Sus scrofa: one gene and its partners. The protein of the gene in region 3 interacts with the protein of the main gene of each other region in a pairwise test. Links are inferred from orthologs where the notes say so. Each region holds a gene or a part of one and is shown on either strand. Other genes may lie near its edges.

Region 1 (7,593 bases), on a different chromosome or scaffold from region 3:
GGATTCATCAACCACTGCGCCACGATGGGAACTCCTGCTGCTGTCATTTCACCGCTTCAAGGAGGGAGTGGAGGCTCAGAGAGGTTGGGACACCTGCTCAGGGTTGCACAGCTTGTAAGTGGCTGAGCCCTTGCTTCTAACCATTCTTCTCTGGGCCCCACAAGGCCACCAACCACTGCTCTTCCTAAAATCACCTGTTGCCCAGCGAAGGGAACTTCCCTACCCTCCAGCCACTCACGAGCACATCAGTGCTCCTAACTGAAATTGAAATGCTCCTGTCCCCTCTCCTCTGGGACGCCTCCCCCCTCTCTGCCTTTCTGGTTTCCTCTGGCCCTTCCTTCTCAGGCTCCCCTGGGTGCTCCCCTTTATATTCCTCGGGTCTTTGTCTCGGACCCCCCCTCCTTTCTCCCTCAGCAATTCCCCGGGCCTCCCGTGGTGCCACCCTGTCAGAGGCCATCCACCCTGTGTCCCCCATGCCCCACGTGACAGTAGGCACCGGGGTGAGCGAGGCAGGAGGTGTGTCCCCTGGGGCATGAATCCACTTCCTGTGGGGGCACCAGGCAACAAAGGACACGGGGCTTTTTAAAGAGTCCTGGCAATTCCCACATACAACAACCCGATTGATTTATGCATGAGTCCCAAATCTGGGTTATTTCCTCCATTCTACCTACTACCTATGGTAGGATAAACTGTTCATTTAATGATTGGGGTTTGGGGGTTGGGAGGAGCGGGGGCGGGGGAGAGACAACTATACTAAAGCAGCAGATAGAGTATAAGGGACGGCTCAGGTTTAGAGCTGGTAAGATATGTGTCTTAGAACCCAGGAGACGGGCCTCTCGCGGGCCCTCATCTCCCTCCTAAGTTCAGGCCCCTACATCTAATTTATCGTGTCTGCAACTGCTTCCTGCCAGCCCCAGGCCAGCCCTGCCCCTGGTGGGTCCGGCCACCCACCCACAGCCTCGCCAGAACTCAGGGCCTCCTCCTCCCGCAGCCATCCATCAGCAGATCTGGTCTCTTCTGCCTCCTGCGTATTTCTGGAATCCAGCCCCTGCCCCTTCTTCATCCAGACCACCAGGGCACCTCCTCGGGAGCTCAGCTCTGATCATTCCCGGCCACCAGCCTGTCTGGCGTTCTCCAGCCAGTGTAGTTCCAGTCTTTCTCCCTCTCTTCCTTCCTTCTTGTATTTCTTGCAGAATGTTTCAAACATACTGAAAAGCACACAGAAGTATATAACGGCACCCGAGTTCTCACCGCAGCTTTATCAAATCAATACTTCCCCCTATTTGCCACTGACTCTTTTTTTCTTCAATGAAACACTGCTAGGAGGTCCTGTTGTGGCTCAGCAGAAACAAATCTGACTAGTTTCCATGAGGACACAGGTTCGATCCCTGGCCTCGCTCAGTGGGTTAAGGATCCGGCGTTTGCCGTGAGCTGTGGTGTAGGTCGAAGATGGGGCTTGGATCCGCATTGCTGTGGCTGTGGTGTAGGCCAGCGGCTTCATCTCCAATTTGGCCCCTAAACTGGGAACCCCCATATGCCACAGGCATGGCCCTTAAAAGCAAAAGAATAAAACACTACTATTAATGGAAACCCCCCGGGGGCCCCCTTCCAAATCCCATCAGAAACACCTTTCCTTAGTGGTAAGGAGTATCCAGATTTTTTTCTTAATCTCATGCTTGTTTTTATTACTTTTGGCAACATGTTACATTATCCATAAACTATGAATAGTGTGTATATATCCTTTTACAGCCTGTTTCCAAACGATGATTTTTAAAAAAACCAATTTGTATTATGGAAAATGTCAAACATACACAAAAGTAGAGAGAAGAGTCTATTGAATGCCCATGGCTCATCACCTAATTCCAACATCGTCTCTGCCATGTTGAAGCAAATATTTTTTTCATCCATAAACATTTCAGCATAGAACCCAAAAGAACTTTTTTTTTTAACATGGTCACAGTACCATTGTCACAGCTACCTCTGGTCAGTGTTAAAATTTCCCCAGTTATTGTACAAATGCTTTCTGCTCGTTTGGTTGGTTGGGCTGTGCCCGCGGCATGCGGACCTTCTGCGGCCAAGGATTGAAGGCTCCCCACAGCCGTGACAATGCCAGATCCTTAACTACTAGGCCGCCAAGGAACGCCTGCAAATGCTTTTTGCACAGCTGGTTGGTTCCAGTCGGGGTCCAGACAAGGTACCCACACTGCATCTGGCTGATGTGTTTGTCAGGTGCCACAGATGTTATTATCATGCTGAGCAAAAGAAGCCACACATAAAAGGGACATACTGAACGAGCCCACTGATGTGTTTCAAAGCAGGTAAAATGAATCTTTGAATCTTTGATAACAGAGGTCACAATTCTGGTTTTCTCAGTAGTGGGGGCAGGGGCAGATACCGACTGAAAGGCGGCCAAAGATCCTTCTAGGCTGCTGGAAACGTCCTAAGACCTCTCCTTCATGTATGAGCTAGAAAACTACCATCAAGAAAAGGACTTCATTGGAGTTCCCATCATGGCTCAGTGGTTAACGAGGCTGACTAGGAACCATGAGGTTCCGGGTTCGATCCCTGGCCTCGCTCAGTGGGTTAAGGATCTGGCGTTGCCGGGCGCTGTGGTGTAGGTTGCAGATGAGGTTTGGATCTGGTGTGGCTGTGACTGTGGTGTAGGCTGGCAGCTGTAGCTCCAATTCAACCCCTAGCCTGGGAACCTCCATATGCCGTGGGTGTGGACCTCAAGAGACAAAAAAAAAAAAAAAAAAAAAGAAAGAAAGAAAAAGAAGGACTTCATTAAGAGAGCCTCCCTTCAACTATTCAAAAACTCTGCGGGTCTTAAAGAAAAAGCTGTTAAATGCTTGATTCTTTAATTTCTATTTTATTTTATTTTATTTTATTGCCCACGCCTGTGGCATGCCAAAGTTCCCGGGCCAGGACTCCAACCCTCACCACAGCAGTGACCCACGCTACAGCAGTGACAGCACTGGATCCTCAAATGCTAGGCCACCAGGGAACTCCAATTCTTAATTAGACTTTTCAGAATACCAAGTTGGCTCTCCAGCACCCTCCAAAAGTGCCCTGTAATGCTGCTAGTATCATTGTGAGCTCATGGTTTGTTTTTTTGTTTTGTGTTTTGTTTTTGGTTTTTTTTTTGCTTTTTAGGGCTGCACCACGTAGCATATGGAAATTCCCAGGCTAGGGGTCCAATCAGCAGCTACAGCTGCCGGCCTGCACCACAGCCACAGCCACGTGGGATCGGAGCTGCGTCTGCGACCTACACCACAGCTCACGGCAACGCCGGATCCTTAACCCATTGAGCGAGGCCGGGGATCGAACCTGCAACCTCATGGTTCCTAGTGGGATTCGTTTCTGCTGCGCCACGACAGGAACTCCCATGGGGTTTTAATATGCTTCCATCCTTTGCACTTATTCTTACTGGCGTTCAAAGTGTCCCATCTTTGGACAGTGGGAGCCTCTTCAAGTTGGCACCTGAGTCCTTTTGACCTCAGTGCTAAGTTTTGGGGAGGTGCTCCCGCGGCTCTGATGCAACCCATCTCTTTGAACTGTTGTGTATCATTGCATCTCTCAGAAACGCAGACAGGAAGTTCTCTCTCTGCCCTGTCCGCCAGTGGATGAAGTCCACAGTCCTCGGGAGGCGCTTCCGTCTCTCCCTCCCCGTCTTGCACTCAGGCCGCTCCCACTAAACTCTCTTGCTTACTGTGGCCATGAACGGGCCACCTGCGCTCATCCTGACCCAGGCTGATCCCTCTACCTGTATTACTCTCTCACCTTCCCCCACCTGTCTTTGGCCAGCTTCTCTTCAAACCTCTGGTCTCACTCTGGCCATCCTTCTCCCCAGGGAGCCTCTTCTGGCTGTCCCCACCTCCCCGCATGCTGGGGGTTCCGTGGCCCTTCCCCACAGAGGATACGTTTGGAGAAAGGCCAGCAGGGCAATTCCCAGAACACCAGTCTATCGCTGGAAATGTTGTGAGATGGAGAAACCACTCAGGGAGTGTCCCCTGGGTGGCCGGGAGGCACACGTTGATAACCCCCCTGGGACATGAGTTGGCATCCTGGAGCTGGTGCTCACACTGCCTGCTGGAGAGGGAGGGTGGCAGGGCTCTTGGTCTATGGATGGGGCCTGTGAGTTCTGGGTGGGGCCAGAGTGGTGGGCTCTGCCACAGGACTGGAGGGGGCCCCTAAGCCTGGCCTGCCATGGGCCCCAGTGGCACCATCTTCAGCCTCCGCTCCAGGGAGGCCCCAGCAACTGCTGAACAAATGCCAGAAATCACCAGGCGGAAGATATTACCCGACAGTCTGCCTCTGCTGCAGCCCCATCCCCCAGCCACTGATAGGGCTTATCGCTGTGTAACTGCCTACTTACCGGCCATCTGGCCTCCCACACCACCCCACATTGGAGGCTTCATAAAAGCGGGGTCTGGCTTTCTTATCTCCTGCTCTAGCCCTAGCATTTAGCACAGTTCCGGGCTTCTAAGTGGTCTTGGTACATTCTTGCCACATACGATCACGATTGAGATTGGAGACAGCGCAAAATCGACCCATGCCCCCACCCCAGGTGGCAATTCTCAACCCCAGAATTAGCAGGGGGAACTTCAGAGCGGTGTATTAGTCCAGATCGCTGAGGCTGGAGCCTGACAGGTGTCCTTTTTGAAGTTCCCCGGTTTTTCTAACACGCACTCAGCACCTGGAGCCCCAGGTCTGGATGCACATGCGCCCAACACGCGCCAAACCAACCCAGGAGGCGCGCAGCGCGGCTCCAAGGGCCTCACAGCCTCTGCCCCTCGACCTCGACCTCGGCCCAGGGCCTCCCTGCCAGGCCAGGAGTTGGGGGCGCAGAGTGCGGGTGGGGTGGGAGCCCAGGGCGGGGGCGCATTGACCGGAGGCTCCCCTCCGCTCCCCCTGCGGCAGTTCGAGGAGATCCACGAGGTGATCGCGCGCTACAAGACGCTGGTGAGCATGCACCACGACCTCATGCAGGCGGCGCAGGAGGGCCAGGAGAAGATCGAGCGCGCCAAGGCGAGGCTGGCGCGCTACAAGGAGGAGAAGGATGACGAGATCCTGCAGCACAACAACGAGCTGGCGCGCCTGCAGATGCGCTTCGACCGCGCACGCAGCGACGTCATCATCTGGGTGAGCCCACGGGCGGGGCGCGTCTGGGTGCCGGGCGAGTATGGGCCACACACGCACGCGTGCACGCACACACGCACACGCACGTACCCATGCTCACAGCGCTCACGCCTCCCCCTGCCCTCGCCAGGAATCCCGCTGGGCACACATCCAGAACACCGCCGCCAAGAAAACCCTCTTGCTCGGCACCATTAAGATGGCCACGCTGAACCTCTTCCAGATCGTGAGCAAGCAGCTGAAGGAGGCGACCTTCGTGTCCCTGGAGGACACCCACAAACAGCTGGACATGGTAAGAGGAGGCCCGAGTGCCCGGCCAGCTGGCTCTACTGAGCCAAGATGGTTCTCCATTGGTCGAGTGGAGGAACGACCCGGGCAGGGTAGTGGTCCTCAGATTTTAACAGGATCGGAACCCCCGGGGGGGGCTGGGAGGATGGCTGGAGCCCACCCGCAGCCTCCGACTCAGTAGTAGGTCAGAGATGAGAACCCATGAATGTCCATTTTCACCAAGTTCCCAGAGAATGGTGTTCACCCGAGTTCCACACTCCAAGAACTGCTTGACTGCGGTAAGACTCGCTTGGCCCCGTCAACATGGGCAGAAGCAAGGACACATGACCGAATTCACTGGCTGTGCAAAACAGCCTTACTCATTTCTGGTGAGATGCTGAAGGCTTGTGAGGGAGGCCTGCCCGTGGGGAAAAGAGAAAATTTGTGGGGAAAAAGGAAATGAGCCAGTGCAGAAAAGTGGAGTCATTCTAGTACCGAGCTGAGATTTTTCTCTTTGAAGTAATTGGGAGGAAATTGAAAAGGAAATAGACTTTTCGCTGTACAGTTCAAAGCTACTTGATGCCTTGTCCACGTACCACCTAAAATCAGCTCCTTCTGACCAAAGGTACACGCATCCCGCAGTTTGGGAACCTCCCTGCTAGCAGGTGCATTCCCCGTGCGTCTTGTGACGTGCAGAGAACTTTGACTTGTTATTTATTCGTTTGGCAAAAGGCTTTAGCTCTGCCATGAAATAGCAGAAAGTAGGCTCCCGAAGGCTGGGATTTCTGTTTGCTTGATTCCCTGCCATCTCTGGTGTTTAGAACCATGCCAGGCACGTAGTAGGCACTCAATAAATATTTGGTGAGTGAATATGAAATACGAGCCAATAAAAGCAATTGACTAAGAGGTACTTCCTCTGTTTAAAAAAAAAAAAAAAAAAGCAAACGATGAAATTCATGAAATGTAAAGAATTTCACCCACTGACCAGCCAGGAAGAAGGATTTCCGTAAAGCAAAGAATCAGCCTGCAATGTAAGGCATGTGAGAACAGAATTATCATCAGCCCTAAGACTGTAAAGAGAATTTGTAGGAAAGATTGTTTTTGAAATAGCGATCCTCATGCTTTTTCGGTATCAGGATAGCTCTGCCCTTATAAAACTCAGCGAAGACCCTCGAAGAGCTGTAGTTTCTATGTATTACAGCTACTGCTGTTTCCCATATTAGAAACTCAAGCCGAAAAATTAAAAATCATTCATTCATTTTAAAATGACAATACGAAGTGTGTTACACAAATAGCATTTTTATGAGAAATACGTTCTCAAAAATTATTTTGGGAATTCCTGCCATGGTGCGGTGGGTTAAGGATCCAATTGCAGCAGCCTGGGTCACTGCGGAGGTGCGGGTTTGATCCTCTGCCCTCTGCAGTGGGTTAAGGATCTGGCATGACCGCAGCTGTGGCATAAGTCAGGATTTGATCCCTGGCCTGGGAACGATGCCACAGATGCAGCCCCCAAAAAAAGGATTTTGTGTGACAAGGGGCATTATGCAACACTTGCAGATCCCTTTAATGTCTGGCTTCTTAGTGGGCAAGTGAGTTCTGACACTTGCTTCTGCATTCAGCCTCTTGTGATGACCTATGTCATGGGAACATCCCACTCTTGTAAAAGCCACTGTCGTCTCACAAGAGGAGGAGGAGGGGAAACCAGCATTATAGTAGCAAGGGTTTTGGTGTCCAGCGGTAGAGTCTCAGGGACTCCCAGGCATCCTTGCGCACCTTTCTTTGGCCGTTGTAAAGAACAACGGGCAGGAGGCGGTGACTCCAGCTGGCCACCCCTTCCCGAGCATCCCCGGCTCAGACCACAGCTTCCACCCCAACATCCTCACTCCTCTCAAGCTTGATTTGCCTGCATCGGAATCCGTCATATTGCCCCAATGTTGTTTCTAAATATCCCACTTCGTTCCCGTAGCATATGAGCCTACGGCACACACATATGACTAAGTAGCCTGAAAAATGAAAAATAAAGACCTGGGACAATGTGAGTTAAAATCTGAGGTCAAGGCCAGAGAGAGACTACATGTACTGTGGAGCCTTAGATTATAGTGACAGTAGTGCATCAGGGACAGTGGTTGGCTCTGAGCTTCCGGGTAGCCAGAAGGAAAAGCAACACGTCGTTCTTAAACCACGTTAAGA
Region 2 (7,593 bases), on a different chromosome or scaffold from region 3:
TTGACTGCCAGTCGTTTGGCACCCTAACTAACCCTCTCTTGGGCCGGGAAAGCGGGACAAGGGCCACCCTCTCCCCTCCGGCTTCTCCCAGCGTCTCCTGCCTTGCTCCCCTGCCCGGCCCTCTCTGGAGAGCGCGGCTGGAAAACCTTGGGCTCAGCCGCCCCCGCCGCAGAGCCGGTTCCTGTGTGTGTCGCGGGGTTCTGGCGGGGAAGGCGGTGGGGGTGGCGCGCGCTGTTCCGGCCGTCAGGGAAATGAAAAGTGCGGGAGGCCGCGGCTGGAGTCTCCTCCCTTCCCTTTGGGTGTGTGCAGTGGGTGGCGGTAATGGGGGTAAGGTCCCAGTTCTCTGGCTACAGTGGGTGACTCGTCCGTCCCCCATCGCCCTCGGTATGGGGGAGGGCAGACTCAGTTTGGAATCCTTAAGGGAGCCTCTGGCTTACAGCCCCCCTCTCCCCAGCCCCGGGTGTGGGGGTGGAGGCAACGTCGAGGAAGTGGGGGGGGCGTCACCTTGGGGAAGGCGCATCCTGCGTTTTAGTCCCTGTCACTGTAAGGACACCTACCCCCTGCCATTTCTTGCTCCCCGTCCCAATCCCTTTCAGCCCCCCCCCCCAACCTTTAGTGCTGCTGCGTCTCCTCTGCCTCTGTCCCAGAAATGACCGTGCGCCCTCCCCCAGGTGTGTGAGGAGCAGCGCTGTGAGGAGGAAGTCTTCCCCCTGGCCATGAACTACCTGGATCGCTACCTGTCCTGCGTCCCCACCCGCAAGGCGCAGTTGCAGCTCCTGGGTGCGGTCTGCATGCTGCTGGCCTCCAAGCTGCGCGAGACTACGCCCCTGACCATCGAAAAACTGTGCATCTACACGGACCACTCTGTCTCTCCCCGCCAGCTGCGGGTGCGTGCACAACTCCCCCCGCCCCCCAACATCTCCTGCCTCCTCACTCACCAGAAAAAGGAAAGCTAAGACCTCGGGCGGCTTTCTGCCCTTGCACAGGGTAGCAGAGGCTTTTTAAATTTTTTTTGGACAAAGGATGGGGCCGTGTGGTGTGATGGTCAGCGTAGCCCCCGCCCAGGTCGTAGCCGCCCCCCCCCGTTCCCCCCCCCCACGCGCTCCCAGGCCTGCGCTGCCGGCAGGAACTAAATCCCCTTCTCCTGGCCTCCAGGGGGTGCCACTCCTTCCTGGTCTTTCCTCCAGATAGCAACAAGTCAAACTGCATGTCTACACTCACTAGTACTTTGCCTCTGGGTTTACACAGCCACCGTGAGTTATTTATTGGCAGCAGCAGGACGTGCCTGCGCACCCCCACTGGAGTCGGGGAGTGGAATGTGCTTCGTGTGGGGGAGGGGGGCTCGGTTGAGTCTTTATCCCAGTGTGTGGACTTTGTGATGGAAAAGCCTCCCAGAGCAGATTAAAGCCAGGCGTTGGTGGCTCTGAGGCAGGGCCGTGGCGTTTGGTCCCACCTTCTTCTCTCCTTCCTCTTCTCTCCCCAGGGAGACCGCTCCTTCCGAATCCTCCCTTCCTAGCCTCTCTCTGAAAAACCTGAGCAGCTGCTCCTGGCCTGGTGGAATCATCTCTCCCTTTCCCCCTTAGCCAAAGGCCAGAGCTGAGGGACAGACAGGGGGGCTGAGCTGCAGCTGCTTCCGATGTGATAATGATGGCCTCTCCCCAGGCCCACCCACTCTGCCCAAGGTCTTTCATAACCCTGTGGGGAGCTGCTGTCACTCCTGTGGTTTGGGAAGTGGCTCCCTGGGCCTCTTGCTGGGAACTCAGGCTGGGTGCTTCCGAGACAGAGGAGTGATGGGCTCTCCTTCCCCACTGAGCTGGGAGAGGAGGTTGCTGAGGGCCTGCAGATCATGCTTGGGGGTCTGGGGGAGAGGGCTGAGCCGGCACCTTCCTCCACCTTGCTCTGCAGCCGCCTGGTCAGAGCAGGAGTCCTGGGGCCCCATCTCCCGGGGAGGAGGGCAGCGTGCCGGCTGCTGTGATTGGCTGGCTGGGAAGCCAGGGTACTGGGGCCCCCGAGTGCTGCTTGTCGAGGAGCAGGATTCCTCTTCCTGCCAAATAGCTCTCAGAGATGGGAGTAGGAGGCCGGAGTTGGGAATCTGGGAGGCCCCACAGCTCTTGGTGATGAATCTGGTAGTTGTCGGCAAGTCTGAAGGTGGAGCTGGTTTCCAGGACTAGTAAGCAGACTGTTTTTGGAGGGGTTGGGGCTAAGAAGGTAGAAGGGGACTTCCTTTTTGTGGAAAGATTGGGGTGATGTGGGTGCCTTAGGTGAGGGAAGTTTTTCAGAATAGACAGAAAGTCCTCGACCCCCACTCCCGTGCCTGGGCTGGGGGTGGAGTGAGCCGGTGACTCCCTAGAAGGTTAGAGTTGGAAGCCCCCCCCCCACCCGGGGGGCCCTGAGAGCTCCAGTCAGTCCAAATCCTTGTGCCACAGAGGCTGGGACCCAGAGGAGAGAAGGGTCCTACCTCAGCATTGCCCTGGGGCAGAGGAGCAGGCTTTGGGGGTGCTAGCTAGCTCAGGTGGCCTCCGGTAGCCTAAGAGGTCATGGAAGCTGCCAGGCATGTGTTCTCTTCTGAGCTTGGGCTGAGATTCAGGGGTTGCCTGGATACAGGCTTAGGTGGCCACCCTCCCTCATGCAGGGCCCTAGGCCTCTCCACAGGGAAAGCCCCTCTCCTAGTTGCCTTCCAGATGTTTCCTTGTTTGCTTCGAGTTAGGAGCTTGAGTTTGACCGCTGGGACAAGGACCAGGAGTGGGACGCTAGCTTCTCTGCCCTGCTTCTCCTGGCCCCAGGCCAGGCTGTTTTCTGTGGGGCACTGTGAGACATTTAAGAGGATGACACCTAGGCGGGGCCCGGAGACGGAGAGCTGTGTGTGACTGGGGGCCTCGAAGAGGTTGGGTGGGGTCACCCTTTCTACCTTAGTGAGGGGTCAAACCCATGAGTTCCTTCCTGAGACGGAGCAGTGAAGAAATCCTCATGTGTGCAACTCAGAAATGGGGCCAGGGCTGGGGACCCCAGACAAGTGGATTGGGGTGGGGCCCCCAGCCTCCTTCCAGGACCTAGCAGTGGTGCAGCAGCCAGGGCAGATGGAGAGGAGGTTTGCCTCCTCAGGGATCATCTGGATCCATCCTGTCTGGCTTGGCCTCCACTTCTCTTCCTGAGACTCCAGTGCTTCTAGCGGCCATGGGTTCCAGCCAAAGGGGTGGAGTGGGGTGCTCTACCTCAATCCCCCCTGCCCCCCCCACCCCATGTCCCACCAAGGGGATGTGGGTTGGGTTGGGCAACCTCCACTTTGAGGAACCTCAGGGTTGGCTCACGGGCTGTGTCACAGGAGGTGTGGCCTCATGCTCACCCCAGTTTCTTCAAGAGGTGTGGACTTGATTGGGAGGCTCTGTGGTGGGAGAGGCTAGTGGTGAGCTCCCCTTTCACAAGTCCTTGGGATCACGGAGTCTTTCTGCTTCACACCAGAGGAGCCTCAAGTTCATGGTGATGCTGGTGGTGTCTGCTGCAGTCTTGTCTTTCAACCCTGGCTTAGAGAAGTACTCAGAGCTCTGCAGGAAGTCAGGAGAAGGCCTGGATTATTGGCCCCCAAAGATTAACCTAGCAGGATTAAAAGAGACGATTCACGTACAGCACGTCATTTTGGCACCTAGAAAGTGATCAATACGTGCTCAAAGCAAGTGTCCCCAGCTCTGTCCTGCCCTGGGCGCCCCACTCCCCTCCAGTGCCAGTCCCTAAACTCAGAAGCAGAACTGGGGTCCTGACCTTCAAGTGTGATGGGCTTCCTTCCCCAGGAGACTTCCTCTTTACTCCCGCCCCTTCCCTTTAGCCACTAACTCCACCCTCTTCCTCAACCTCCAGGATTGGGAGGTGCTGGTCCTGGGGAAGCTCAAGTGGGACCTGGCCGCTGTGATTGCCCATGATTTCCTGGCTCTGATTCTCCACCGGCTCGCTCTGCCCCGTGACCGACAGGCCTTGGTCAAAAAGCACGCCCAGACCTTTTTGGCCCTCTGTGCTACAGGTAGGAGTCCGACACACATTTTTGCCAAACCAGAAAAATTGTAAGACTTAAACGCGTGAGAGGAGACTAGGAGATTCTGATTTATACTCTCTCAAGATTTGTGAAGGTTCTATCCCCTGAGTCCCCAGCTCAGAAGAGCAGCAGAACATGGAGCTGTATGGGATTTCAGAGACAGCCCCCCGCCTTAGGTGGGTGGGGACATTGAGGGCCTAGGGTCTCACAGTGATGAAGTTGGTAGCAGAACCTGGGTCTCTTAACCCTAATTTTGTGTCCACACCTGGAAGAGACTCATTTACTCCCTGGTCCCTGGCTAGGATCACTACAGACCACCCTGGACCAGACCCTTGCCTGCCTCTCTCTCCCCACTCACTGCTGGGGTTTTCCTGTACACCCCTGCCCGATTCATACAGCCTGGCACTTTCTGAGGAATGGAAGGGCCATACTGTTTGTTATCCTTGAAATCTTCCTGCTTCAGTCCTTTCTTCCCCCCCACCCCCCCCCAAGATTACACCTTTGCCATGTACCCGCCATCCATGATCGCCACGGGCAGCATTGGGGCTGCAGTGCAAGGCCTGGGTGCCTGCTCCACATCTGGAGATGAGCTCACGGAGCTGCTGGCTGGGATCACAGGCACTGAAGTGGTGAGTGTTGGGCAGTGAATGGTGCAGCAGTTCCTGAGGCTATGCTATTCCTTGAGCCTCCAGCAGAGGGAGCTGTCCCCCCTCCTTGGTCCCCACCTTCTGTGGCCTTTACTCTCCTGCCTTGGTCTGGAGAAGAGCAAGTGTCTTGGGTGGGCTGAAGGGCATTGTCCCTGGGTACCCTTTTCTTGCCAAATCGTGTACAGGAGTGGGGTTGGGGGTTTGGTGTCAGATGCTGGGCTGCTCTCACACCCTCTTGCCACATCCTCTTGCCAGTTTCTGAGAATCGAAGGCTGATTCCTGGGGTTGGGCTGTGGCCTCACCTCCCCAGACTTCCCTGTGTGCTGGGAGGCGTCCTCCAGCACCTGCTCCTAGACGCTCTGGCAGGAAGGAAGTGGGCCCTCTTCACTGTTCCCCCTGTGTTCCCAGGACTGCCTGCGGGCCTGTCAGGAGCAGATCGAAGCTGCCCTCAGGGAGAGCCTCAGGGAAGCCGCCCAGACCTCCCCCAGCCCAGCGCCCAAAGCCCCCAGGGGCTCCAGCAGCCAGGGGCCCAGCCAGACCAGCACTCCCACAGATGTCACAGCCATCCACCTGTAGCCCTGGAGAGGCCCCCTCGAGTGGCCACCAACAGCAGAGGAGGGGACACTGCCACCCCCTCTCCTCCCTGCCTGCAGGAACGAACCATGCCACAGCCGAAGCCCGAGGGGGCTCCTTCTTACTCGCCCCTCGCAAGCCGAAGGGCCAGGTCCTACCTATCCTTGCAGCGTGCACTAAGGGCCCAGCCGGCTGTGCTGGTGGCCAGTCAGGCTCCTCCTTCTCCCCGCATCTGACTCTGCTCCTTCCCATTCCACTAGGGGTGGGCCAGACTGGCCAGAGATGAAATTGCAGTAGGTAAAATACATGCACCAGCATTCCTTCTGGGGGACCCCATATCCTGGGGCTCTCGTGTTCTCGACTGCCAAAACCCTCTGATGCCTTGTAAAGGTGCTGCACCCTCTAGTTACTGCATTTGGATTGGAGTCTTTCTGCAGAACCTTCAGATGGTGCGAGGGGAGTCTGGAGAAGTCCTCGCAAGGCACTTGGAGGCCCCTGCGTAATCCATGTCCCCAGCTGCTCCTGGGGGAGGGGCCCCAGCTTCTGTCCGACTCCCTTGCTTGGCTTTTTGCTCAGCTTCTCCTGTGTGATTTGGGGGCCGGGGGGAGAAGGTCAGTGCTAAAGGAAGAGGTTTTAATTTATTAATTGCTTTAAGTACAACTATAAGAAGGTGTGGTGGGCCCCTCTACCCCGAGCGGTGGTAACCCTGGTGGTTGCTGCATCCCTCCCCTCTGCTGCTGCTGGCTCGAGGATCTTTGTGGCCAAGGAGCTGCTACAGCCTGGGAAGGGCCGTGCCCTCCTCTCCCTCTGGCCCATCCTCGGGGTGGGGGGGGAGGTGAAGCAGGGATGACCTGGAGGTGACGGCCCCCGACTGGAGAGGGAGGCAAGCCCTGTTGACACAGGTCTTTCCTAAGGCCACAAGGTCCAGGCTGGTGGCCCAGGACCATCATGCTATGTTAATAAAAATTCTGGAATAAAACTGGCTTTGGCTTCTTGGGATGGATGGTGGGCTGGGCAAAAGCTGATTTCCAGATTGCGTGGGATAAAGAGGGTCCTGAGCAGGAGCTTCCAAGCCTCTTCCATGAAGGGCCAGAGGACCTTAGGCTTTGTGGGCTCCGTGGTCTCTGCCCGAGTCAGTGCTGCTTTATAGTGCAGTGTCCGTGTTCCTAAAAATCACCGCACCATACAAAACTGCACGGCAAAAACCAGAGCTTATGGGAAAAATGGGCCTTGAAGCACCATCCTCAACAACTTATTGAGTGACACTGTCTTGCAAAAAGGAAAGAGGAGGAGTTCCCTTATGGTGCAGTGGGTGAAGGATCCAGGGCTTGGGTCGCTGTTGTGGCACAGGTTTTGACCCCTGGCCCAGGAACCTCTGTGCCAAAAAAATAAAGAGAAAGGAAAGAGGAGAGCATTTTTACACATTAAATGGTTAAGAAGCAAACGCCTCAAGTCTGCTGCTGAGCGTGGAGGTGGGAAGGATGGAGGATGTGGAAGGCAGGTGCCACCAGGCATGGGCGTAGCTAACAGCCACAAGGTGAACTGGGGGCGCTAGCACATGTCTCAGGTGTGTGTGTTTTGTGGACTATCTGGTTTGGCTCAGTTGGGTAGTTTTTTTGCTTTCACCTGGTGTTTCTCAGAGACAAAGCTGCGTATCAACATGAAACTTGCTTTATGATCAGATTCCGCCCAAATACATTCATCACGTGAAAAACTCACGTTTTTCAAAAGCAAATAGTGTTAGCCAGATTCAACTCCCTGCTGTAGCAGGAAAGCAGCCAGAGAAACATGGGCATGACTGTGTCCTAATTAAACTTTATTTATGGACATTGAAATCTGAGTTTCATATAGTTTTCACCTATTACAAAATAGTGTTCTTTTTTTCCCAAACATTAAAAAATATGTAAAACTCATTCTTAGCTCACGGGCTGTGAGAAAATGGGCACGTGACTTTGGCTTGCCAACCCCTGGTCAAAAGTGCTCATTAACTAAGAAGGTAGAAGGGAGCTGGTCTGGTGGTGACCCTGGATCTAGTCATTCCTGGCCCAACCTTCCTTGCCCTGTACCTCCACCCTCCTCTAGGTGCCTCCTCCCAGCTCTTCCTTCCACAGCTGAGACCATCTTCTGAACAATTTCCTGGCTGCTGGCCTTCTCCCCGAGTGGCCTGTGTCGGGGGAAGCAGAGGACATGCCCTCTAGGGGCCGGCAGTGTGGGTATAGCCTAGAGAAACAGACTCCTAGCGTGAAGAGGCAGAGGGTCCCGTGAAGACTGGGTAAGAATCCACTCCTACGCAGGAATGGGGAAGCGGTGCCCACCTCCAGCTGAAGAGTAAAAGCAGACAGATCTCTA
Region 3 (7,593 bases):
TGGTGCAGACGCAGCTCGGATCCTAAGTTACTGTGACTGTGGAGTAGGCCAGTGGCTACAGCTCCAATTTGACCTCTAGCCTGGGAACTTCCATACGCTGCGGAAGTGGCCCAAGAAATGGCAAAAAAATGTAAAAAAATTAAAAAAATAAAATGAAATACTTAAAAAAAACCACATGACTGTTGGGACTATTTTGTTCCACCTGTCTTAGTACATATTGTTTTTTGAAAGGATTTAGTGTCTGCTTTATTGAATTGTAACAACAATTTTGGTGAACTTGGAGTTTGGAGGAAGTTCTGAAGGCAGCAGGGAGTAGGGACTCACAGGGAAGCCTTCTGCTGATGCTTGCAGGACTTGTCACAGACTATACTTTTTCATCCCTTCCTTTAGTGACAGGTCATGTCTCTATCCCACTTGTACCGGGACGGAGAAGGCCACATGGATGATGACGAGGATGAGCGGGAGAACTTTGAGATCACCGACTGGGATCTCCAGAATGAATTCAACCCTAACCGGCAGCGCCACTGGCAGACCAAGGAAGAGGCCACCTACGGAGTGTGGGCAGAGCGTGACTCAGATGAAGAGAGGCCCAGCTTTGGAGGCAAACGGTATGGCTGGCATGGGCTGCTTCCCCAGGAGTTGGGGAACTACCCCACTAAGCATCTGTCTCTCCTAGCCCCACTAAGTCCCTTAGCTGCATCATCAGCCAGGGAGCCAGTTCCTCTTTAGGCTTGGGTGCTGGCCTCTCACTGACTGGGTCATCAGTTGGTGTTAATTGAGCAATTATGTGTATTAGGCCTTGTGCTTTAGGCCCAGTCCTTGCTTTCCAGGAGCTGCAACTCTGGCTGTTGGAGACGGGCATTGATCAACAGCAGAAGTGGAAGTCTGTAACTGATTGAGGACCTGAGGGGGGACCTATTTTAGGGTGTTTGACCTATTCGGGAGGTTAGGGAAGATGGAGAATCAGGGCAGCACCGGTAAACAAAGGCCTTTGCTGGGAGGCAGCAGGGAATCCAAGAGGACATGAGACGTTGTGAGCTGGAGAGGGAAGGGGTGTCATCTGAGAAAGAGGCCTTGGGTCTGTGTGGAGAGGGTGTGACATGCGGGGAGGGGGCGTGTTTGAAGATCCTTTTGCTCAGGTGCAGGCTCGGGGTTGAGCCACAGTGGAAGAGGGGCCTCTGTGAGGAGGCCCGGGCCAGGCAGTAGTAGAGACCAGGGCTGGGCTGGTGGCAGGGGATGAGGACTGGGACTGAAAGCCCCCTCCTCAGCGTGGAGTTGCCTGTGTTGGCTGCAGCTTGCCTGACCAGAGTGTGTAGCAGGTTTGGCTTTGTCTTTCTGTCCCCACCTGAGGCCTGGAGGCTCCAACCCATTGCAATTGTACATTTTTGACAAAGGAGGCTGGGAGTTCCCACTGTGGTTCAGCGGGTTAAGAACACAACCTAGTGTCCCTGAGGATGTGGGTTTGATCCCTGTCCTTGCTCATGGGGTTAGGGATCCAGTGTGGCAGTGGCTGTGGTGTAGGCTGGCAGCTCAACTCCAATCTGACCTAGCCTGGGAACTTCCATATGCCACAGGTGTGGCTATAGAAAGAAAAAAACAAACCAACAGAAAAAAGGAGGTTGGGAGAAAGAGCAGAAATCAGTGCGACCTCTTCTCATCTGTAAGAAATCTAAAGTGAATGATGACTAGATCAGGGATCAAGAATTTTATGTCTATAAGATAGTAATGGCCTTCACTGCTTCCTTGTTCAGGCGTGGTCTCTATTACCCTGCTTACAAGAGAAAGGTGCCATTATTATCATCCCATTTTACAGATTAAGAAACTGTGGCCAGGAGTTGCCTGGTGGCCTAACAGTTAATTATATGGCATTGTCACTGCTGTGGCATGGTTTCAATCTCTGGCCTGGGAACGTCTATATGTTTCTGCCATGGCCAAAAAAAGGAAAGAAAAAAACTCCAGCCAAAAGTCGTACAGCTAAACTGTTAGAATCTGGACCTTACTCTACATTTGGGCTCTTATATTGCACCTCTAGGAGAATATTCTCTTAGTTTTATTGCTGCCATGGAGAGGTTTCTTTACGAGGTTAGTCATTTTATAAAGCATCACCTTATTTTGCAATACTCTTGGGGACTTTCCTTGTTTGATTTTTGTGCTTGAAATAGTGTCTGAAACAAATGCTTTGTTTTTCTTTTTCCTTTTTTGGCCACCTCACGTCAGAAGGAGTTACCAGGCCAGGGATCAGATTGGAGCTACACTTGTAACCTATGTTGTTGCTGCAGCCATGCTGGGCCCTTAACCCCCTATGCTGGGCTAGGGATCAAACCTGCATTGCAGTGCTCCAGAGACAACAGTGATCCCATTGTGCTTACAGTGGGAACTCCTTGTGTTTATTTTTAAAAGAAAAAAAAAATTTTGAGTTCCCTTGAGGCACAGCAGGCTGAGGATCTGGCATTGTCACTGTAGTGCCTTGGGTTGCTGCTCTGGCATGGGTTTGATCACAGGCCTGGGAACATTCACATGCTACAGGCATGGCCAGAAGAAAATTTTGTTTTTTTAATTGAAGTATATTTGATTTACAGTGTTGTGTTAATTGGTTTATCATAGGACACTGAATATGGTTCTCTGTGCTGTACAGGACCTTGTTTATCCTCTCCACGTATAATAGCTGCATTTGCTAACCCCAGCCTCTCACTCCACCCCCTTGGCAACCACAAGTCTTTTCCATGAATTTGTTTCTTTTCTGTAGATAGGTTCATTTGTGCCACATGTTAGATTCCAGATATAAGTGAAATCATATGGTATTTGTCTCTTTCTGACCTGCTTCATTTGATACAATTAGTATGAGAGTCTCTAGTTCTATCCACGTTGCTGCAAATGGCGTTATTTTGTTCTTTTTTATCACTGAGTGGTATTCCATTGTGCATATGTACCACATCTTCTTAATCCATTCCCCTGTTGCAGGACATTTAGGTTGTTTCTATGTCTTGACTATTGTGACTAGTACTGCAATGAACATAGGAGTGCGTGTATAATTTTCCTTGAAATCTTTGTCTGGATATATGCCCAGGAGTGGGATTGCTAGATCATCTGGTAGTTCTATATTTAGTTTTCTGCTGTACCTCCATACTGTTTTCCATTGTGGTGGGACCAGTTTACATTCCCACCAACAGTGTAGGAGGGTTCCCTTTTCTCCACACCCTCTCCAGCATTTGTGATGCCATTCTGACAAGTGTGCAGTTGTACCACATTGTAGTTTTGATTTGCATTTATTGAATAATTATTGATGAGCTTTTTTTTTTTTTTTTTTTTTTTTGCTGTTGAGTTGTATGAGTTGTGTGTATTTTGGAAATTAAGCGTTGCATCATTTGAAACCATTTCCTACCATTCTGTAGTTTGTCTTTTTGCTTTTTTTATGGTTTCCTTTGGTGTGCAAAAGCTTGTCAGCTTGATTAGGTCCCATTGGTTTATTTTTGTTTTTATTTCTGTTATCTTTGGAGACTGACTTAGGAAAACATTTGTACCATTGATGTCAGAGAATGTTTTGCCATGTTCTCTTCTAGGAGTTTGATGGTGTCTTATGTTTAAGTCTTTAAGCTATTTTGAGTTTATTTTTGTGTATGGTATGAGGATGTGTTCTAGTTTCATTGATTTACTGTCCATTTTTCCCAGCACCACTTCCTGAAGAGACTGTCTTTTTCCCATTTTATAGTCTTGCCTCCTTTGTCAAAGGTTAATTGACCACATGTCCAGGTTTATTTCTGGGTTCTGTATTCTGTTCCATTGATCTGTATGTCTGTTTTTGTACCAGTACCATACTGTGTTGATTACTGTAGCTTTGTAGTATTGTCTGAAGTCTGGGAAAGTTATGCCTCCTGCTTGGTTTTTGTTCTTCAGGATTTCTTTGGCAATTCTGGGTCTTTTATGGTTCCATATACATTTTTGGATTGTTTGTTCTAGTTCTGTGAAAAATGTCATGGATAATTTGATAGGGATTGCATTGAACCTGTAGATTGCTTTGGGTAATGTGGCCATTTTAATGATATTAATTCTTCCAATCCAGGAGCATGAAATATCTTTCCATTTCTTTGAATTTCTGTAGTTAATTTCTTTTTTTTTTTTTTATGCTTTTTAGGGCCACACTTGTGGCCTATGGAAGTTTCCAGGCTAGGGGTCAAATCACAGCAACATCAGATCCGCATCTGTTGACCCACACCACAGCTCATGGCAAGACCAGATCCTTAACCCACTTAGTGAGGCCAGGGATCAAACCTGCAACCTCATTGTTCCTAGTTGGATTTGTTTCCCCTGTGCCAAAATGGAAACTCCTCCATGATTAATGTTTTATAGTTCTTAGCATATAAGTCTTCCACCTCCTTAGTCAGGTTTATTCCTAGGTATTTAATTTTTTTTGAGTGCCATTTAAAAATGTTGTATTTTTATATTCCTTTTCTAATACTTAATCCTTAGTATACAGAAGTGCAACTGATTTTTGAACGTTAATCTTGTATCCTTGAATTTTTGCTGAATTTGTTGATCAGTTTGAGTAATTTTTGTGTGGCATCCTTAAGGTTTTCTATATATACTATCATGTCATCTGCATAGAGTGACAATTTTACCTCTTTTTTTTTTGGATACTTTTTATTTCTTTTGTCTGTCTGATTGCTGTGGCTAGGCCTTCCAATACTATGTTAAATAAAATTGGTGAGCGTGGACATCCTTGTCTTGTTCCAGATTTTAGTGGAAAGGCTTTCAGCTTTTCGCCATTGAGTATCATTCTGGCTGTGGGTTTGTCATGGATGGCTTTTACTGTGTTGAGATGTGTTCCCTCTATACTTGATTTGGTAAGAGTTGAATGGATGATCCAACTTGAATGGATGTTGAATTTTGTCAAATGCTTTTTCTGCACCTATTGAGATGATCATGTGGTTATTGTCTTTTTTGTTGTCGATGTGGTGTATCACATTGATTTGTGCACGGCGAACCATCCTTGTAAACTTGGGGTGAATCCCATTTGGTTATAATGTGTGATTTTTTTTTTGATGTCTTGTTGGATTTGGCTTGCTGATATTTTCTTGAGAATTTCCGTATCTATATTCATGAAAGATATTGACCTGTAATTTTCTCTTTTTTCTGGTTTTGGTGTAAATGCTTTTTAAAGTAAGTTAATTTTAAAAACGTAAAAGGAAGAGCTCCTGTTGTGATTCACTGGTAGTGAACATGACTAGTATCCATAAGGACGAGGGTTCGATCCCTGGCCCACTTAGTGGGTTAAGGATCTGGCACTGCCATGAGCTGTGGTGTAGGTCGAAGATGTGGCTCAGATCCGGCGTTGCTGTGGTTGTTGAGTAGGCCTACAGATACAGCTCCAGTTGAACCCTCTCGCCTGGGAACTTCCATATCCCACAGGTACAGCCCTCAAAAACAAAAAATAAAAAATAAAATGGATCCCACAAGGTCAACTCTAAGGAACTCTCTGGCCAGCAAGGTTTCTACATGGGATGGTTTCAGGAGAGTTCTTAATGACCCTATGGGCTGTGGGGCCTTGTGTTTTTACCTGCAGGGCTCGTGACTACTCGGCACCAGTCAACTTCATCAGTGCTGGGCTCAAGAAAGGGGCAGCAGAGGAGGCGGAGCTGGAAGATTCTGATGATGAAGAGAAACCTGTTAAGCAGGATGAATTTCCTAAGGATTTTGGACCAAAGAAGTTAAAAACGGTAGCCTCCTTATTGACGTGTTGTGACTTTAGTAATATCCCTGGAGCATCTTTGTGGTGCAAGCATCTGCTCACAATTGGCGGGGGCGGGGGGCGGCGGCATTGTGTGGGTCTCCCTGTGGTAGTGCATCTCCCTGAGGGGTGATGTGTGCAGTGCAGTCTCTTCTATTCCCTAAGATGCATCAGAGGTAGGTTTGATTGGTGAGATATTTTTCATAATGCTCTGTGACTGCCAGGTCATGCTCCCATCAGCTAAGCTTGCTTTATTACGTTTTCCTTCTTTTTCTATTAACTAAACTTTGATTTTTCTCCTTTTCAGGGTGGTAACTTTAAACCCAGTCAGAAAGGTTTTGCAGGAGGAACCAAGTCGTTCATGGATTTTGGCAGCTGGGAAAGACACACAAAAGGAATTGGACAGAAGCTGCTTCAGAAGATGGGCTATGTCCCTGGAAGGGGCCTTGGGAAGAATGCACAAGGTGTGGCAGTCCCACCCCACAGTCTTGCACTTGCTGTCAGGCAGAGGTGGGAAGAGCAGGGAGGGCAGTGGCCTCCTCTTTTCTGCTTTTTCACTGTTCGGAGGGCTGGGACCCTGCAGCCTGTTCTGCCAGCACAGATGCTGTGCTCTATGCTTCATGCTTTATCAGAACTCAAGTTACATAAAATACTTGTTTCGGCAGGAGGGAGAGGTTAGGGTTTAAATCAGGCTGACAGGCTGAGAACAGGCTTCTTTCTAGCCTGCCCGGTGTTTCTAAAAAATCAAACTGGTTGCCAATATTTAAAAAGCAGACAGTTTCACTTCCATTCTAGAGTTGCCTGGCAGTGACTGGTTTAGCTGAGTCCTTGCTGTCCCAGTCAGCACCCAAGGCCTTCTCCTGGAAGCTGCCTCCACACTCCCCTTTTACTCCAGCCCACTTTCCCTGTTCATATTAATGTTCCTGGACCCTAAAGGCATATGAGTTTGGACTCTTGCTCATGCGGGGGCAGGACAGGTAACTATTTTTTAGTTTTGCAAAAAGCCAGTTACCTGTCCTTCAGGAATATCAGTAAAACATCAGGTGTTGCCTTTTGTTTTACAACACTCACCAGTGGGATGTCATCAGTAGTATTCTCTGTAATTCAGATTCAGCCCCTAGGTATTATAAAGTTAGATATGGATTGTGGGTTGAAAACATCAGCCGTATGAAGAATCCATGGACTTGAGTGGCAATGGCATGGGAGTGAGGGAAGTGTGCTAATTGGGATTTCAACAGTACTAGCTGGAAGGGGCCTGGTAGGAAGTCTGGGGTGTGGCAGTTCTTCACTGAAATGCAGTCCTGTTTGTAAACTTTTACAAGAAAAATACTTATTTTCCAGGCTTAAACTTGTTATAGCTCATAGGAGATATGAACTCCTAAGTAAAATAGGTGGAGTTTCATATTAAATGGCAGCTTCACCTTACTTCAGTCAGAATCAATATAATATCTGAATTAATGGGCTTCCAAATGAGCAGAGTATAGAATCTAATTTGCCTGAGATCCCAGTTATAAAATATTCCTGTCCACTAAAAAAAAACCAACAAGTCCAAGTAGAAATGGAAGTCTGTATTTAGGATACAAACAATATCAGCACACTGTTTTGTGGCAGCACACACGCTCAGAAGCTTCTGGCCACACAGGAGCCAAACGGTGTCGTGAGGGCAGAAGCATGTTTCCTTCCTGGGTAGCATGTTACTGTGTGTGAGGACCAGGAGTGTGGTCTCCCTGAGTGGCTCACTCACAAGAACTGCTGTGATCTGAAGTCTGTCTTTTGCTGCAACTTGCCAGGTATCATTAACCCAATTGAAGCCAAGCAGAGAAAGGGGAAAGGCGCGGTGGGGGCGTATGGCTCAGAGCGCACCACCC

Evidence for each region. The genes of interacting proteins can lie anywhere in the genome.
Region 1: the proteins of TFIP11 (region 3) and CCDC42 interact in binary tests that used the Homo sapiens proteins (3 or more experiments, as listed by UniProt). The two-hybrid records come from large-scale screens. The link is inferred for Sus scrofa from reciprocal best matches to the Homo sapiens genes TFIP11 and CCDC42.
Region 2: the proteins of TFIP11 (region 3) and CCND3 interact in binary tests that used the Homo sapiens proteins (3 or more experiments, as listed by UniProt). The two-hybrid records come from large-scale screens. The link is inferred for Sus scrofa from reciprocal best matches to the Homo sapiens genes TFIP11 and CCND3.

Annotation. Positions count from the first base shown.
Region 1 is NC_010454.4:53,872,280-53,879,872, reverse strand, and holds part of CCDC42 (coiled-coil domain-containing protein 42A), read left to right. Parts: intron 1-4,920; coding exon 4,921-5,142; intron 5,143-5,269; coding exon 5,270-5,428; intron 5,429-7,593. UniProt on the Homo sapiens protein: Essential for male fertility. Required for sperm development.
Region 2 is NC_010449.5:37,086,813-37,094,405, reverse strand, and holds the end of CCND3 (G1/S-specific cyclin-D3), read left to right. Parts: intron 1-671; coding exon of another isoform or gene 672-716; coding exon 717-887; intron 888-3,852; coding exon 3,853-4,012; exon of another isoform or gene 4,013-4,440; coding exon of another isoform or gene 4,441-4,516; coding exon 4,517-4,653; intron 4,654-5,079; coding exon 5,080-5,247; 3' UTR 5,248-7,070; downstream 7,071-7,593. UniProt on the Homo sapiens protein: Regulatory component of the cyclin D3-CDK4 (DC) complex that phosphorylates and inhibits members of the retinoblastoma (RB) protein family including RB1 and regulates the cell-cycle during G(1)/S transition.
Region 3 is NC_010456.5:44,104,517-44,112,109, reverse strand, and holds part of TFIP11 (tuftelin-interacting protein 11), read left to right. Parts: intron 1-390; 5' UTR 391-399; coding exon 400-608; intron 609-5,560; coding exon 5,561-5,714; intron 5,715-6,032; coding exon 6,033-6,189; intron 6,190-7,515; coding exon 7,516-7,593. UniProt on the Homo sapiens protein: Involved in pre-mRNA splicing, specifically in spliceosome disassembly during late-stage splicing events. Intron turnover seems to proceed through reactions in two lariat-intron associated complexes termed Intron Large (IL) and Intron Small (IS).